Arabidopsis thaliana: one gene and its partner. The protein of the gene in region 2 interacts with the protein of the main gene of each other region in a pairwise test. Each region holds a gene or a part of one and is shown on either strand. Other genes may lie near its edges.

What was found. Proteins that work in one complex are often made in the same cells at the same time.
Region 1: the proteins of AT5G55330 (region 2) and LUL1 interact in a protein complementation assay, tested with the Arabidopsis thaliana proteins (one large-scale study listed by BioGRID).

What each region holds. Positions count from the first base shown.
Region 1 is NC_003076.8:758,320-765,907, reverse strand, and holds LUL1 (RING/U-box superfamily protein), read left to right. Parts: upstream 1-4,067; 5' UTR 4,068-4,240; coding exon 4,241-4,683; intron 4,684-4,800; coding exon 4,801-5,266; intron 5,267-5,353; coding exon 5,354-5,458; 3' UTR 5,459-5,589; downstream 5,590-7,588. Other genes in the region: DIP2 (E3 ubiquitin-protein ligase), read left to right, coding at 2,569-2,838; AT5G03204 (uncharacterized protein), read left to right, coding at 3,511-3,621; CPUORF47 (peptide upstream protein), read right to left, coding at 5,760-7,065, 7,248-7,369. UniProt on the Arabidopsis thaliana protein: Acts as an E3 ubiquitin-protein ligase, or as part of E3 complex, which accepts ubiquitin from specific E2 ubiquitin-conjugating enzymes and then transfers it to substrates (in vitro).
Region 2 is NC_003076.8:22,434,565-22,442,099, reverse strand, and holds AT5G55330 (MBOAT (membrane bound O-acyl transferase) family protein), read left to right. Parts: upstream 1-3,215; 5' UTR 3,216-3,234; coding exon 3,235-4,275; 3' UTR 4,276-4,629; downstream 4,630-7,535. Other genes in the region: AT5G55340 (MBOAT (membrane bound O-acyl transferase) family protein), read left to right, coding at 1,114-2,115; AT5G55320 (MBOAT (membrane bound O-acyl transferase) family protein), read left to right, coding at 5,401-6,420; TOP1BETA (DNA topoisomerase 1 beta), read left to right, coding at 7,510-7,535. UniProt on the Arabidopsis thaliana protein: Catalyzes the final step in the synthesis of long-chain linear esters (waxes).

The DNA of each region.
Region 1 (7,588 bases), about 22 Mb from region 2:
TTTTTTTTTTTTAGAAACTTTTAAAGTATCTTACCAATGGAGATGGCCTAATAACTCCTATAACGATACTTTATTTTAATTTTGCATGAATTATCATATATGCCGCGTGCATGTATAGAAGATGTGTATCCACCATGCACGTAGACATTCATTGTAGATTTGTTGTTGTACATATCCACATATAATATGTTATATTTATGTATCACTTTAGCTTACTAAAACAAAGAAGTCATAATTCATAAATAGTTTCAAGTCTTGTATGTGTTTTATTTCCTTTGTCGCACTCACACTACCTATACTTCTTTTATACTATTGCTTTCCTTACAACTAAATTATGACGTTTGTGAGATTTTATTATACTAGAAAATAATCGTCAAATAAAAGAGCGTCTTTGCCTGTTGAACCAATTACTATTTAAAATATAGAGTAGTGTGGTCAATTGATTAATTATTGGTCGATGACCTCTACATAATTGGAGCTTTGAGATACATAACAAAACACAAGTACCAAGAAAAAAAACAAATAATAATAATGCATGTAGTAAGATAATAATCGAGCTTCTTAAATCTTCTCTTGTCTTTAATAATATTCCTATATATTCTAATTATGCATAGAATCCTACGTGATTAAGAAACATCAAATTCTCATTGTTCAGCCGTATGATCGTAATCTTTCTTGTTAGTTGCATATCTTCTACTTGTTGGGATTTCAATTATTGTTTTATCACCGAACAAATAACTGTTGGAAAATTTCATATTATGTCAAATGATCAGCTCCGTATTGTATCTATGCTTATGTTATGTTCGAAAAATGGACTCCTAAAAATGACACATTACAAAAAAAAATAAAAATAAAAAATAGCTTCGAGGCCTTTGAGGGTAAAAGCTCTAACCTCTCTCATAAAAGAATTAAAAATGGATCTTTGGATATCAAGAAAATTATTTTGAAATAATTAAATTGAACCAAAATCAGAAAACAAAACACATGACATTGTTGATTTGTCGTTTACTAAACCGATTTTCATTTGCCTAATTCTATTTTTATTGTGTTAGATCAAATAATGATGTCATCTTGTGTGTTTTACAACTAATAATAATTAAATTAGCAATTAACTATGGTAGACCTTAGCTTCGACCACCCTATACAAGCATATATCAATTTCGGTTATCAAAAAAAAAAGAAAAAAGAATCCGTTTGTAAAATTTTGCTAGTGAATTATATCTCTAATCCATATTCTCGATTGATGAAACATTATTCTGACATACATTAAAAAATTAGTTTAAGAATATTTTTGCAAAACTTATGCGATGTGATAAGCTCACTTTTTTTAGGTGACATGTTCGATCATAAGGTGCCAATAATTCCCTAGAAATAGATTAATCTCTATGTAAAATATCGAATCGTCTAGTGACAAGTACATGGTATACCTACCTATTCACTTATTATTTCTATTTTTGTCGTCCTCATGCATCTTATGTTATAATATCAAATGACGGAAAATGAGGGATGAATTCTATAAGCTAAGAAAACTAAAATAAGGGGGAAATTGCAAGAAGAATGAAAGCAACCTTTCAAATATCCTTATCTTATCCAATCCTTTTCAGGCCATTGACTTATTTTCTAATTAACCTAATTATATATATAAGAAAAAGCTAAGGCATCTTATATTTATATATACATATATCAATTGATTGCTAATAATGTTTTGATTAACTCTGCATATGGCATGTTTTCCAGCGATTTAAGTTCACAAAGAAGATTTTCGTTTTTGTCATCACTAAAAATTATCTAGTTCTTTCTACTTTTTCAGCGTACAATAATCTTTTTTTCTATCAATTGGTACGTTTTTTATTTTCTCAATTTTAATTTTGTTTTCTAGGTACATTTTTAATCGAATTGCACCAAAATATCCAAACAAATCAATAAAACAGGCAGAATGAGGTATTACCGTATTAGTTAAACGAGAAGTGGCTACTTTCCTCAGCGTGATTAAAATGCTTATGGGTTCAGTTTCATAATTCTCATATACGGAACTACGCATTTGACCTCATGCTCTCTATAAATATTAAGATCTGATGTTGAGAGCCCATTAGAACTAAGTTTACGAATGAGCCCATGATAGTTTAACTTGGGCCTAATTAGTGTCTAATCTGCTTCTAACGTTACCGAGTCAAACGCGGTCTAAACTAATTTGTAGAGTAGTGTATTTGTCCAAAGCGTACCCACACAATTGCTGAGAAACTTCAAACCCTAAGTGTGTGTCTAGTATTTTGCAATATACGACGCATAAAGAAATATCCTAACATTGACAACAACAAAAAAAAATCTTAGCGGAGATATAGACGTGTGAGACAAGAGCTCACACGTGTTGCACATTCGAGACTTGTTGATAATGACGACAACAAGAGGTTCTAGAATATTCGTGTTGGTTTCATTATTATTAGCAAATAAGACCAAGTCAACAAACTAACTTAAACATTGTGGATCGTCCACTTGTCCGACTCTTACGTCAAACCCATCATTGTTCCACATATCTCCACGCGTCAATCTCTCTATAAATACGAACAAATGAACACGTATCAATTCAACTCAAAAAGTAACAATTTGAATTACTTCCGCAAATCTAAAATAATATCTAGTGAAGCGAATATGTGTTTCTTTGATAATCGGTGCGATCAGAATCTGACGGTGGTGGTGGATGTGGCGTGGTGGATGGAGGCTGTTCCTCCACAAATCATTTCTCCGGCGAAGCCATCGGTTTCTCCGATTCTTGAGACGATTTTAGAAGGCGGAGAGACCGAAGAAGACAATCAAGAACAAGAAAACGAGGACGTGTAAATTGTAATGATCATTTTGTTACTCGGTCTTGGGTTTAAGATAGACTCTTGTTGTTGTTGTTGTTTTTTCTATAACTGTATAAGATGAGATTTTGTATTGTATCTTTTGTACAATCAAATCTCAGTTCTTTGTGAAATTTTCATTCAACTTTCACATCTTGTACGCTCGGTGATCTGTTGTTATATGCTCACGAGTTGGTAATTAAAGACAAATCTTAATATACTTTCTAACCGAACCGGGACGATAACCGGTCCACGACAAAAAATCAGTATCTTCAAATATCAAACCAAACTTAAACCTGAAACCAGTCTCACCGCTATTTCTGTTTGGTGCGATCATTTTCTCAACCAAAAGAATCTAATTTACATTAATTTTTAATAAAGACATGTATGATTTATCTGCAAACTAAAGCAGTGTACGCATACTTATGTTTCAACTTTCGAGCATCACCTAAATATGAAACATAAATATCACGTGCGATAAGTATTAAGCTGCGTCCTATAAAAAAGTATACAAATATATAAAGATCACTTGATGATTAGTTAATTACACTACTACTATTCCTCTCTATCTCTATAAATATCAGCAATAACAATAATTTCCACATAGATCTTCTCAACACAGTCGAAAGCTGCCGAAGTCTAAATCGAAGAAAGAGTATATTTACAAATCATGGCTAGGATGATCGGACCATTCGAAACTGTACCGGCGATTCTTGTTTATCCGATGAGGGTTTCAGCTTCGCCTTCGCTGGGGACAATTTATGAGGAACACGATGAGTAAAATTTTAACAAGACAAGATCAAAACTCGAGTGTTTAATTATTTTTTAATCCATTTTAATGAAATATTCATTTTGAAATATATCTTGATAGTGCTTTCTATTTCTTGGTTGATTTCCACTTTAAACTCTTTTTTATCGACGTTATTATGATCTCCTATATAATCAGACATAAGAGAAGATGTTTCTTAATGACGATCAGTGCAAGATGTTTCTTAATGACGAGCAGTGCTTCTTGTAATCGCCGGTATTAATGGATGTGTTTCTTTGTTTTCCGATCAACCTCCAAAACCAATCTCGTGTCTCCGGTTTTGTCATTTCGTTTCTTCTTATTTTGTAACCGTGATATTGTTGTGAGGCCTTGGGCCTATTGCCTGCCTAGTGCTACTGATAATGATTTCTTTGTTTTATGTGATTAAAAGTAATAATCAATTTCCCATGGTAATTAATCAAGTTTAATACTAATTTATAATATATACAAATAAACGTTTTGGTGTTTCTTCGTCGACGTCGCTATCTCCAATCTCATTACTCCCCTTTCTCAATGATCATAAAACCTACTTCGATTCTACTCCTTATCAACTGAATCACCGAAAAACCTCACCTTTTTTCTTTTTCCGATCATGGGGAATCTGATCAGTTTGATCTTCTGCTGCGGGAGAAGGCAGAGGAGCAATATTCCTCCGGCGATGGAAACGGCTCCTCTTGAACTCCCACCGAACAGATTTGTATTCGCCGCCGTGCCACCATATCTGAACCCTAACCCTAACTACGTTGACCAGTATCCAGGTAACTGCCTTCCTCCGCCAGTAACTGAGCCGCCGATGCTACCGTACAATTTCAACCATTTGCATCACTATCCTCCCAACAGTTACCAACTACCTCATCCTTTGTTTCACGGCGGTAGATACCCTATACTGCCGCCTCCTACGTACGTCCACCAGAAAGCCGTCACGATTCGTAACGATGTTAATCTGAAGAAGAAGACTTTAACGCTCATACCCGACCCGGAGAATCCGAATCGACTTCTTGTCTCCTTCACATTTGATGCATCCATGCCCGGAAGGTTTTACTTTCAAACTATGAAATGATCAAATTTAGTTAAAAGTTTGAATCTTGTTTGAATCAATCAATGGAGTAATATAAATGACTTAGCTTTTGTTGTTTTGGTTGGCGAGAACAGGATCACAGTTGTTTTCTTTGCTACAGAAGATGCAGAATGTAATCTTAGAGCTACAAAGGAAGATACTTTGCCTCCAATCACTTTTGATTTCGGAGAAGGACTTGGTCAGAAGTTCATACAATCATCTGGAACGGGTATAGACTTGACGGCGTTTAAAGATTCCGAGCTATTCAAGGAGGTGGATACAGATGTCTTCCCGTTGGCGGTTAAGGCGGAGGCAACTCCAGCGGAAGAAGGAAAGTCTGGTTCCACCAATGTGCAGATTACTCAAGTGGTGTATACCAAGGAGAAAGGAGAGATTAAAATAGAAGTGGTGAAGCAGATACTATGGGTGAATAAGAGGAGGTATGAGCTGCTTGAGATTTATGGGATTGAGAACACGGTTGATGGTTCCGATGAGGGAAAGGAATGTGTTGTATGCTTGTCTGAACCACGCGATACAACTGTTCTTCCTTGCAGACACATGGTATAGTGTTCATCATACTTAAAATTAGCTCATATAAAAAAAAAATTGAACTTCTTTTGAAATGGTTTGTGTATTTCTGTTTGGCAGTGTATGTGTAGCGGGTGCGCAAAGGCGTTAAGGTTTCAGACAAATCTGTGCCCAGTTTGCAGACAACCTGTTGAGATGCTTTTGGAGATTAACAAGAACGGATGAAATGGAGATGGAGAATGAACAAATTTAGTTAAGCAATCGACTTGTGTAATATATGCCATGCTTAATTAAGACGTAAAACGTTATGGTTCAATATATTATAAGTGGAAACTGAGTTCTTAAATAGCAATGATAAACAGATAGGCAGCTTCTTATTTAGTTATAGGTGCTTGGCCAGGAGCTGTGGTGGCCGAGGACCAACTATGGCAAACACAGAAGGTGATGGCATTACAACTGAGACAAAGACAGACACGAATCGACGTAGATAAGACTAAGGCGAAGCGAGATTGAGTTTTACATTGGTTTAGTCTTCCCACCATTGATGAACAAACACACCTCTGGCTCTCAGAGTTTGAAGCATGTTGATGCAGTCTGACTTGTGGTTGGAACAGCGGAGGAAAAGCTCATCCACGTAGCATATGACTCCTGTTTCCAGTAAAACAGTTAGGAACTTCATTTCCACTTGGTTTGTGTTCATCTTAAGGACTACAAAGTCTGCGTATTTCGCAGTTTCCTCAAACCAAGCAAGGAAATCGAATCTCTCATCTTCTGGAAATGGTTCTAGCTGTTCAAGCGGAGTTATCTTTTTCCCTGTCGAGTTGTTCTCAGCCAAATCCGGATGGTAAACAAAGGTGACGCCGGGTTTCTTGACATAGGATAGCATTACTGAAGTGTTGTGGTCGACAAAGTAGACATTGAATGCTTTGCTGTCGAGTGGGTATAACGGAAAGAACCAGTTTGGAGTTAAATTAGCATCCATGTGCTCGGCTGCTCCAATGTCAATGTAGACAAGGCTCTTTTTCAGAGAGAGATCAAGGAATTTAGGTAAGTAAGCTACTGATTTTGGGAAATCAGCAGGCTTTTGCTCCAGTAGAGGTTCCATGAACTCTGTGTAAGGTCTATTGGTGTCAACAGATTTGCAATCTCTTGGTAGCTGAGACTTTCCAATACAATAAGCAGTCTCCGTTACATTCCTCTTGAATACAATGACGGTGAACTTATCCAAGTTGTTCACACGCACTATCTCAGACTGCTTAAGCCCCGAAGTCACGGATTTGACAAGACGATTGGCATTAGTACTCACAAGGACTGCTCCGGTTCCACCAGGCTTCAGAACCCGCTCCATCTCAAGCACAAGAAGAGCAGGGGAAGCAACATGATCAACATCCCCACAGAGCACGAAATCAAAAGACTTGTCACCACTAAGCTCAAGCTCGTTGACATGCTTCCTACTGAAAAAGGAAAACAATGGATGCTTAGGAACCCCTTGAACAACTGAGAAACCCATCTCTTTGAACCCTGAAACAGCAGAATCCGATCCCTGACCAATGCAGAGAATCTTAGCATCATAATGCAATAGCTTTAACCCCATGAGCTCATCAACGAGATCAGCAATTACCACTTGTGGATACTTCTCTGTCTCAATTTTACCCCAGAATGGTTGAACGAGCTTATGGAAGAACAATTTCGGTCCTGGAATAACAAATCGGCCGAGATCGACCAAATCCACTGCTCCATGATCACCAAAGACGTGATTTTTAGCGGTTAACTCCAACAAAGGGACAACAGATAGAGCAGAGGCGATGATGAGAGCACGAAACAGAGCATGCCTATTCGTAGATCCACGGAAGATATTAAGCTTCAAGATCTTTATACCCATTGATTTCTTCAAATACTTCAGCTCCGATGGAATCTTAAAATATGATTAATGTCTAGTACGATTTGCTAAACAGATCTTAAGAACAAAGAAGAATCGCAAAGAGAAAATCGAAGAATCTAGCGAGTACAAAACCTGGAGGAGGTATGGTTTCCACCCACGAGGAGAACTATAGATATTTGTGATCCAAACCAGACCCTTCTTGGAACCCTAATCGACTTCACCTCCGTCCCCATTCTCACCGTTCGATCCACCATGCAGAAAAAAAAGAAACAAAATCTCGTCTTACATGCTTGTAGAAATCTAAAAGCTAAACACAGTTTCTTGATTGTGTTTGAGAAATGCTTATAGATTCGAAGGGTTTGGGACTATGGTTTCGTGATTCTCTTCCTCTGTCTTGTTTTTTTTTTGGGGAAGAAGAGTGAGTGAGGAAGCGCTTTTAACAGATTTAATGGTGAAGCTAACCACAATGTTAA
Region 2 (7,535 bases):
TGTGTAGTGGACCATTGCAAGTGATTATGTAAGTGCACCATCTTATGTTCTTATACAAGTGAACATCTTAAACCAATAATTGCTCTCTGATCCAACTATGCGTAATAAAAAGTGTAATTAAACGAGGATTTTAGATTACGTTTACACAAACCATTTTTAATCACACATGTTGGACTGCAACCAAAGAGAGATCTAATACCGGGTTGATTGGACTAAACCAAACTTCTGTCTATTCACTATTATAATTTTCTTTTGTTTTTAAGTCATTCGGATTGTTGCACTACTTCGTGAATTGGTGTAGTTAGTTGCCATCAAAAGTGTTTTGCTCAGAATTGACCATATAACTTCTACTTATTTTGCTTATATTTTGCTTATATTTTGATTATGTTATGCTATATTCTGTCTAATTTTGTTAACTTATCGGACACTTGGTTTAATTTAATATAATTATGTCATGAGACATGTTCAATTAAAATAATAAGATGTTGGAGAAAATGAGAAATTGGTAAAAGTGACTTACCTCTAGTACACTTCGTGAAATTGCTAGAGATGGGATTTTGGGAGGAAAATGGTAGAATGATTAAAACCCCAAGGTAAAAATCTCCATAATGCATTAATCTTCTACCCATTTTAGCTAAGGCTTACTTTCGAATGCTGTTATAACTTATAAAACTAACAATGATACTTTTTTGTTTTTATAAGAATGTAAATATCATTAGTAAAGAAATGTAGTGGTTATACAAAAATGCTTAACTAAAGTTTATTGTGTCCTTGTAAAAAAAACTAACAACGATTCTTATCACTTTATCACGCGACCAGAATTTCTTACTTAGACCAAATGACCAACCATTCTCCGATCCTCATTCCAAGGAGATATTTTACAATATTTGTTACATTTACTACTCAACACTCCACAACTACCCAATGACTCAATATTAATGCTCTTCTTTGTAGCCTTTGATCTACCTCTCACCTACTTTATGTAATTGAGGTTGCCTCTGTAACAATGTAACTATAGTTTTTCCCATTTCAAGACACATAAAAAAATAGCCAAGTAATAAGTTATAACCTCGGTGATTGCCAAAAACAACAACACAAACAAAGATCTGAGAGATGGATGAAGAACTCAAGAACTTGATCAAAGTATGGGTTTCTGCAATAATCTCGATATCTTATTGTTACTACATACCACCTAGAATCAAATCTGGTGCTCCTCGATTCCTCTCTGTTTCCCCTGTTCTTGCTCTGTTTCTTGTTCTTCCTCTGTTTTTCTCCTCTCTGCATTTATCTTTAATCACAGCGTTTTTCCTCACATGGCTTGCTAATTTCAAACTCATCCTCTTCTCCTTCGATAAAGGTCCTTTAATCCCAATTCCAACAAATTTCCCTCGATTCTTCTGCTTCACTTGCTTCCCCATCAAGGTTCAGCAAAACCCTAAATCTCAAAACCATTTGCCCAAATTGGTTTTCGCCATTAAACTTGCAATCTTTGCAGTGCTATTACATTTGTATAGCTACAGACAAAATCTGTCTCCGACTATACTATTAGGTCTCTATTTTGTGCATCTCTACTTAGAGATTGAGATTATATTAACGTTTGTTAAAGTTGTTGTTTTTATCTCTCTTGGCTGCGATCTTGAGCCACAGTCCAATAAACCGTACTTAGCCACATCTCTACAAGACTTCTGGGGTCGCCGGTGGAATCTCATGGTTCCGGCGATTCTCCGGCCAGCCGTTTACGCACCAATGCGGCGAGTCTCTGAACGCAAAATGAGTTCCGGTTGGGCTCTGTTTCCGGGGATTTTGGCAGCGTTTATCGTCTCCGGTTTGGTTCACGAATTGCTCTTCTTCTATTTGATACGTGAGATGCCTACAGGAGAAGTTACTCTGTTCTTTGTGTTACATGGCGTTTGTACTGCTGTAGAATTGGCGGTGAAGAAGAAAACGACGGTAGCACAGCGGTGGCGGTTGAGTCCGGGGGTGTCGCGGGTTCTCACGGTGGGGTTTGTGTTTGTGACTGGTGGTTGGTTGTTTACACCTCAGCTTAAAAGGAGCGGGGTGATGGAGAGATTCACATCTGAAGCTGTGTTGCTCGTTGAGTTCATTAAGCGATAAGTTATTTTATTTACGTTGTTGGGGATATTTTATAACGAGTGTTAAATGAGCACGAGTTAACGTTATTGAGTCCGGTTGAGCATCAAAGTCCATAATGGTCAACTACTTATCTTGAAATGAATCGAACTTGTCTTGTTGAAGATGTCGGCAAGTTGGAATTAGTAGAAACTCTTTAAGATGCTGCCAGCATGTCTCTTGGTCTCTTCATGCCGTTTCTTTCTTTCTTATCAAACCCTAAAAAAACTGACTTGCTTCAGTTCCAAGTTCGTTGTACATGACGATTTGTTTTTACTTGGAACTAAAGAATGAAATAATAGTGTTACTTGGAACCAAACCAACACTTCCTATCGATCGATCAATTTTTGTTCCCTCGACTACTGTTTGTGTCATGTTCACGTGAACCCTTTGTAGAGAGATTATCTAAATACAACATAGTTGGGAGGAAAGATCGCCAAAGAGCGTTAGCGAGAGGAAGAAAAAAACTATATGGATTTCCCATATAACGTCAAGCATAGGTCAAAATGTTTACTCTGCTGTCAAATTATTTAAGAAATAGAAGCTTCATTGCTCCCTCATCGGTAGAATTCGTCAACTTATTGCAGGTTTTGAATCATTCAAATTCTTTAGTTCCAGGCGAAAACGAATTTTTATGATATATTGATATTGCTTGTGTAGTTGTGTTACGAGAGATGGGTGCGTTTCAACTCGTACTTAGAACGGGAGGTCCCGCATGGCTTCATAATCGCATTAAGGAGAAACGACAACCTTAGTTTTATTTCACTGTTTTTTACGAGTGTTAATTATGCTCTGCTCTGCTAACTTTTTCATAAAAAAATTCAATATTTAAGACGTTGAAAAGAAAAACTATAAACGGTAGTCATACTTATTTTTTTTTATTTTTACATACACTACTAGTACTATATTACTATATCATAAAAGAGGAAAGTACTTAATTTGATAGATTTTCCAGAGCCATTAACTACTCAACAACTGCCAATAGTTTTTTCCCTTAAATGTGTAACAAACATACTGTCTTTATTAATTGCTCCCACGCTTATATACTACAACTGTAAACATTTTTCCTATGTTTCTTGGTTTATTATCACTTAACCAGTAACCATGGAGGAAGAACTCAAGTTATTCATCCAAGTATGGGTTTCTGCAATCATTTCAGTAACTTATTGTTACTACTTAACACCCAAAATCAAAACCAGTCTTCTTCGATTACTATCTGTTCTTCCTGTTTGTGTTTTGTTTCTTATTATTCCTATCTTTTTCTCCACTGTTCATTCCTCTTTCACTATTGCATTTTTCCTCTCAGGTCTTGCAGTTCCAAAACTCATCCTCTTTGCATTAGAAAAAGGTCCTCTTTTTCCACTTCCTCCTAATCTCCCTCATTTCGTCTGCTTTGCTTGCTTCCCCATCAAGCTTCAAAAAAAACCTAACCCTGAAAATACTAACCATTTCCCCAAATGGGTTTTTGCCCTGAAAGTTTTCATCTTTGGTGCCTTGTTACTACAAGCGTATCATTACAAACAATTTCTATCTACGAATTTTCTATTGGGTCTCTATGCTCTGCATATATACTTGGAGCTTGAGATTTCCTTAACCTTGATAAAATTTCTCGTCAGTATCACTCTTGGGTGTGACCTCGAGCCACAATTCAACGAACCATACTTAGCCACCTCTCTACATGACTTCTGGGGTCACCGATGGAACCTCATGGTCTCGAAGATTCTCTGGCTCGCAGTGTACAACCCCATACGGCAATGGCGAGCCAAGAGCTCCGAGTGGGATCGGTTCTTCGCGATTTTCGCCACGTTCCTCGTCTCTGGTGTGGCTCACGAGATTCTCTACTTCTATTTGACACGTGAGAAGCCTACATGGGAGGTGACTTGGTTCTTTGTGTTACATGGGTTTTGCATGGCGGCTGAAGTGGCACTGAAGAGGAAGACGAAGTTGGTGCAGCGGTGGCCGGTGAATCCGGCAGTGTCGAGACTGCTTACGGTGGGGTTTGTGTTTGTGACTGGTGTTTGGCTATTTTCCCCCCAGCCTATTAGGCACGGCTTGATGGAGAGGTTCATCAATGAAGACTTGTTTCTAATTGATTTCTTTAATCGTAAGTTATATATCCTCTTAGGGTTGTTTACGAGTCTTTAATAAATGGGAAAATTGGAAACAAAGGATAAATATTTAAAGAAAGAGATGGTAAGATTCTAAGAGAAATTGAAGCGAGGGAAATAAAGAAAGATAAATTGAAAAAAAAAGAGTTTTGTTTTGGAGTTATTTGAGAGGAGTGAACAGCTTAATTTTTGTGAAGAATAGAGGAAGACAATATCGAAGAAGTGATGAACGACGACTCCAAGTAAAAGAATATTGATTTGCTCCAAGTAAAAATAAATTGGTTTGGACTTTTTGTTTTGTATTTTGTAAGCATAAAAAAGCTGGAGATATAGTGGGATTTAAATTATATTAAACGCATATGTCACCAATCTTGATCATAAAATGTATAGATGGAAATTTTTTTAAATATTTATCTTTTATTTCCAATTTCCCCTTAATAAAATTTACATGTTTATTTATCAAAGTTGTTTTGTTTTCGCTAAACTATCTTACAAATAAATTAATAGGTGTTGAAGACAAAACTTCATTTTTCATCTATCCTAAAAATAAAGAAACCTGAAAAATATGGCAAATTTACTAAAAATATTCCGGTAGAGTAGTAGTCTTTTTGAATAATAGTATTTTTCGAAAATTGGTACATCTAAGATTCAAAAGGGGTATTTCATGAAAATTCCTCATATATTTGTCTATACTAAAAATATAACTTTATAATAATTTGATGAAATAAATCGGTGATTAATATTTTTGGACAGTTAGGTATACTGGTCTAGTGTTAAACTTGACTTGAAGTTGAACCATGTGAATTCTCCCATACGGAGAACTACCACCTTACACCGATAGTCTCAACTAAACATGAACCATAAACTCTTTGACAATTTCTCACTTTCTTTTTATTTTTCTTCTTTACTTTGAATATTAATTAGTTGGCTGTTGGCACGCTTTTGGTTACTCATCTAATTCACACTATATCAAATCACATTACAGAGAGGCGTTTGAAGAGTTCTGATTTTTATTTTTTTTTATTTTTGTGTAAACAGAGAAAGGAGTCAAGGACTGATTCTAATACTGATATAACGGAAGTAGTGGGTAAGTTGTAGTTGTAGCAAAAACCAATGTTACTTGCTTAAACTCAGCAACCCATTAACAAAAAAAAACTGAGAGATGGAGGAAGAAATCAAGAGCTTGATCAATGTAGGGTTTTTAACAATTATCTCAGTATCTTACTGCTACTGCTTACCACCAAGAATCAAATCTGGTGTTCTTCGATTACTCTCTATTTTTCCGGTCTGTGTTTTGTTAGTTGTTCTTCCTCTGTTCTTCTCCTTTTCAATTTTCACTTCCACCACAGCGTTTTTCTTATCAGCTATTGCCAATTCAAGACTCATCCTCTTTTCCTTTGATCAAGGTCCTCTTTTTCCACTACCTTCAAATCTATTCAGATTTACCTGCTTTACTTGCTTCCCAATCCAGCGTCAACAAAACCCTAAATCTCAAGATCATTTGTCCACGTATGTTTTTCCCGTTAAAATTGCAATCTTTGTTGTGTTGTTATATGTGCATAACGACATACAAAACCTTCCTCGTACTTTTCTATTGTGTCTCCATCCACTGTATGTATATTTGTTACTTGAGATTCTCTTAACGCTCCTTAGAATTCTAATGACTATCATTCTTGGTTGTGACCTAGAGCCACATTTTCACGAACCATACTTAGCCACATCTCTTCAAGACTTTTGGGGTCGCAGGTGGAACCTCATAGTCTCGGCAAGTCTTCGGGCAATCGTCTACACTCCTGTGCGGCGTGTCTGCCAACGAGTAATGAGCTCTGATTATGCAATGTTGATTGGTGTTTTTGCGACGTTTGTAACCTCTGGTGTGGCTCATGAAGTGGTTTTCTTTTATATAACCCGTGCGATGCCTACAGGGGAAGTCGCTTTATTCTTTCTCTTACATGGAGTTTGCACGGTGGCGGAAGTGGCAGCGAAGAGGACGGCGTTTGTACGGAGGTGGCCGGTGAGACCAGTCGTATCTTGGATGTTCACGATAGCGTTTGTAAATGTGACCGCTGGTTGGCTGTTTTTTCCTCAGTTGATTCGGAACAACCTGGGGGAGAGATGCTCCAATGAAATCTCCTTGCTCATTGATTTCTTCAGAAGCAAGTTATTTTATTTTCCCCAGTGAATTACATTTCTAAATGGATTCCGTAGGGTTATTGTTAACAATCACATTATTTAATGATATACTTACAAAAAATGCAGCTATCACATTATATAAGAACTTAGAAGTTAACTTAAAAATTAAGTTGCTATGTATCTCATTCTGTAAGTTAATATTACAAAATCTCAAATTTGCATTACAAGACTAAACTTAACTATGACCTCACCACACGCAACACCCAAGTTATAACCTAGATCAGTGATTGAAAAACGCCAAAAATTCATAACAAAAAGAAAGTCTGAGACATGGAGGAAGAACAACTCAAGAGATTGATCAAAATATGGATTCTAGTTGTAATCTCAGTATCTTATTACTTACTTATCAACCAGAATTAAAGCTGGTATTATCAAAATAGTCCGGATTCTATTTTCCAAAAGTCCATGGATCTCCAAAAATGGGCCTTCATATTAACAAAGCCCAAGTAGAGGTTGCCGAAGAAAACAATCCCATTCCCTAAACGACGTCATATAAGCGATAAAGTCAAAAGGGGTCAAGACTCGCTGACCCATGGAGAGTCTTTCGTTAACTTAGCCTCTACAACACAAAAAACGGACAGAAATCAAAGGCAGGTAAGAAATCCGTGAGGCGTGTCCTGAGATTCATATCTGCTTCATCGCCGATTTCGTCGTGGCCTCAGGTAGTTGCATCAATTTGATAATTCTTCCAGATTTCGTTTGAATTTGAACTCAATTTCACAAATTCATTTTTGATTTCAAAATTAGGGTTTCTCTTTCCCATTTGGGAATTCGAGTTTTCAATTGTACAATTGAGAGCTTTGTTCGTATTCATTTCATTGACATATCAGATTTATGAATTTTGACTCAATCGATTTTTAATGTATATGTTATTGGGATTATAATTGAGTTGTTGAAGTTCCCTTCAGACCAATTGAAATGTCTTGATGCATATCTGTGTTTGGTTTGCAAATTTAATGTTAAAGTATGTATATTTATTAATTTTAGTTTTGTTGCAATTCTAGATAATTAAGTATCTTTCCTTTTTTGATTTTTGTTGATCAACAGTTTTGCTTGTGAATAACTTGCCTTGTTGGGTATGGCCACTGAGGCGTTTGTGAAACC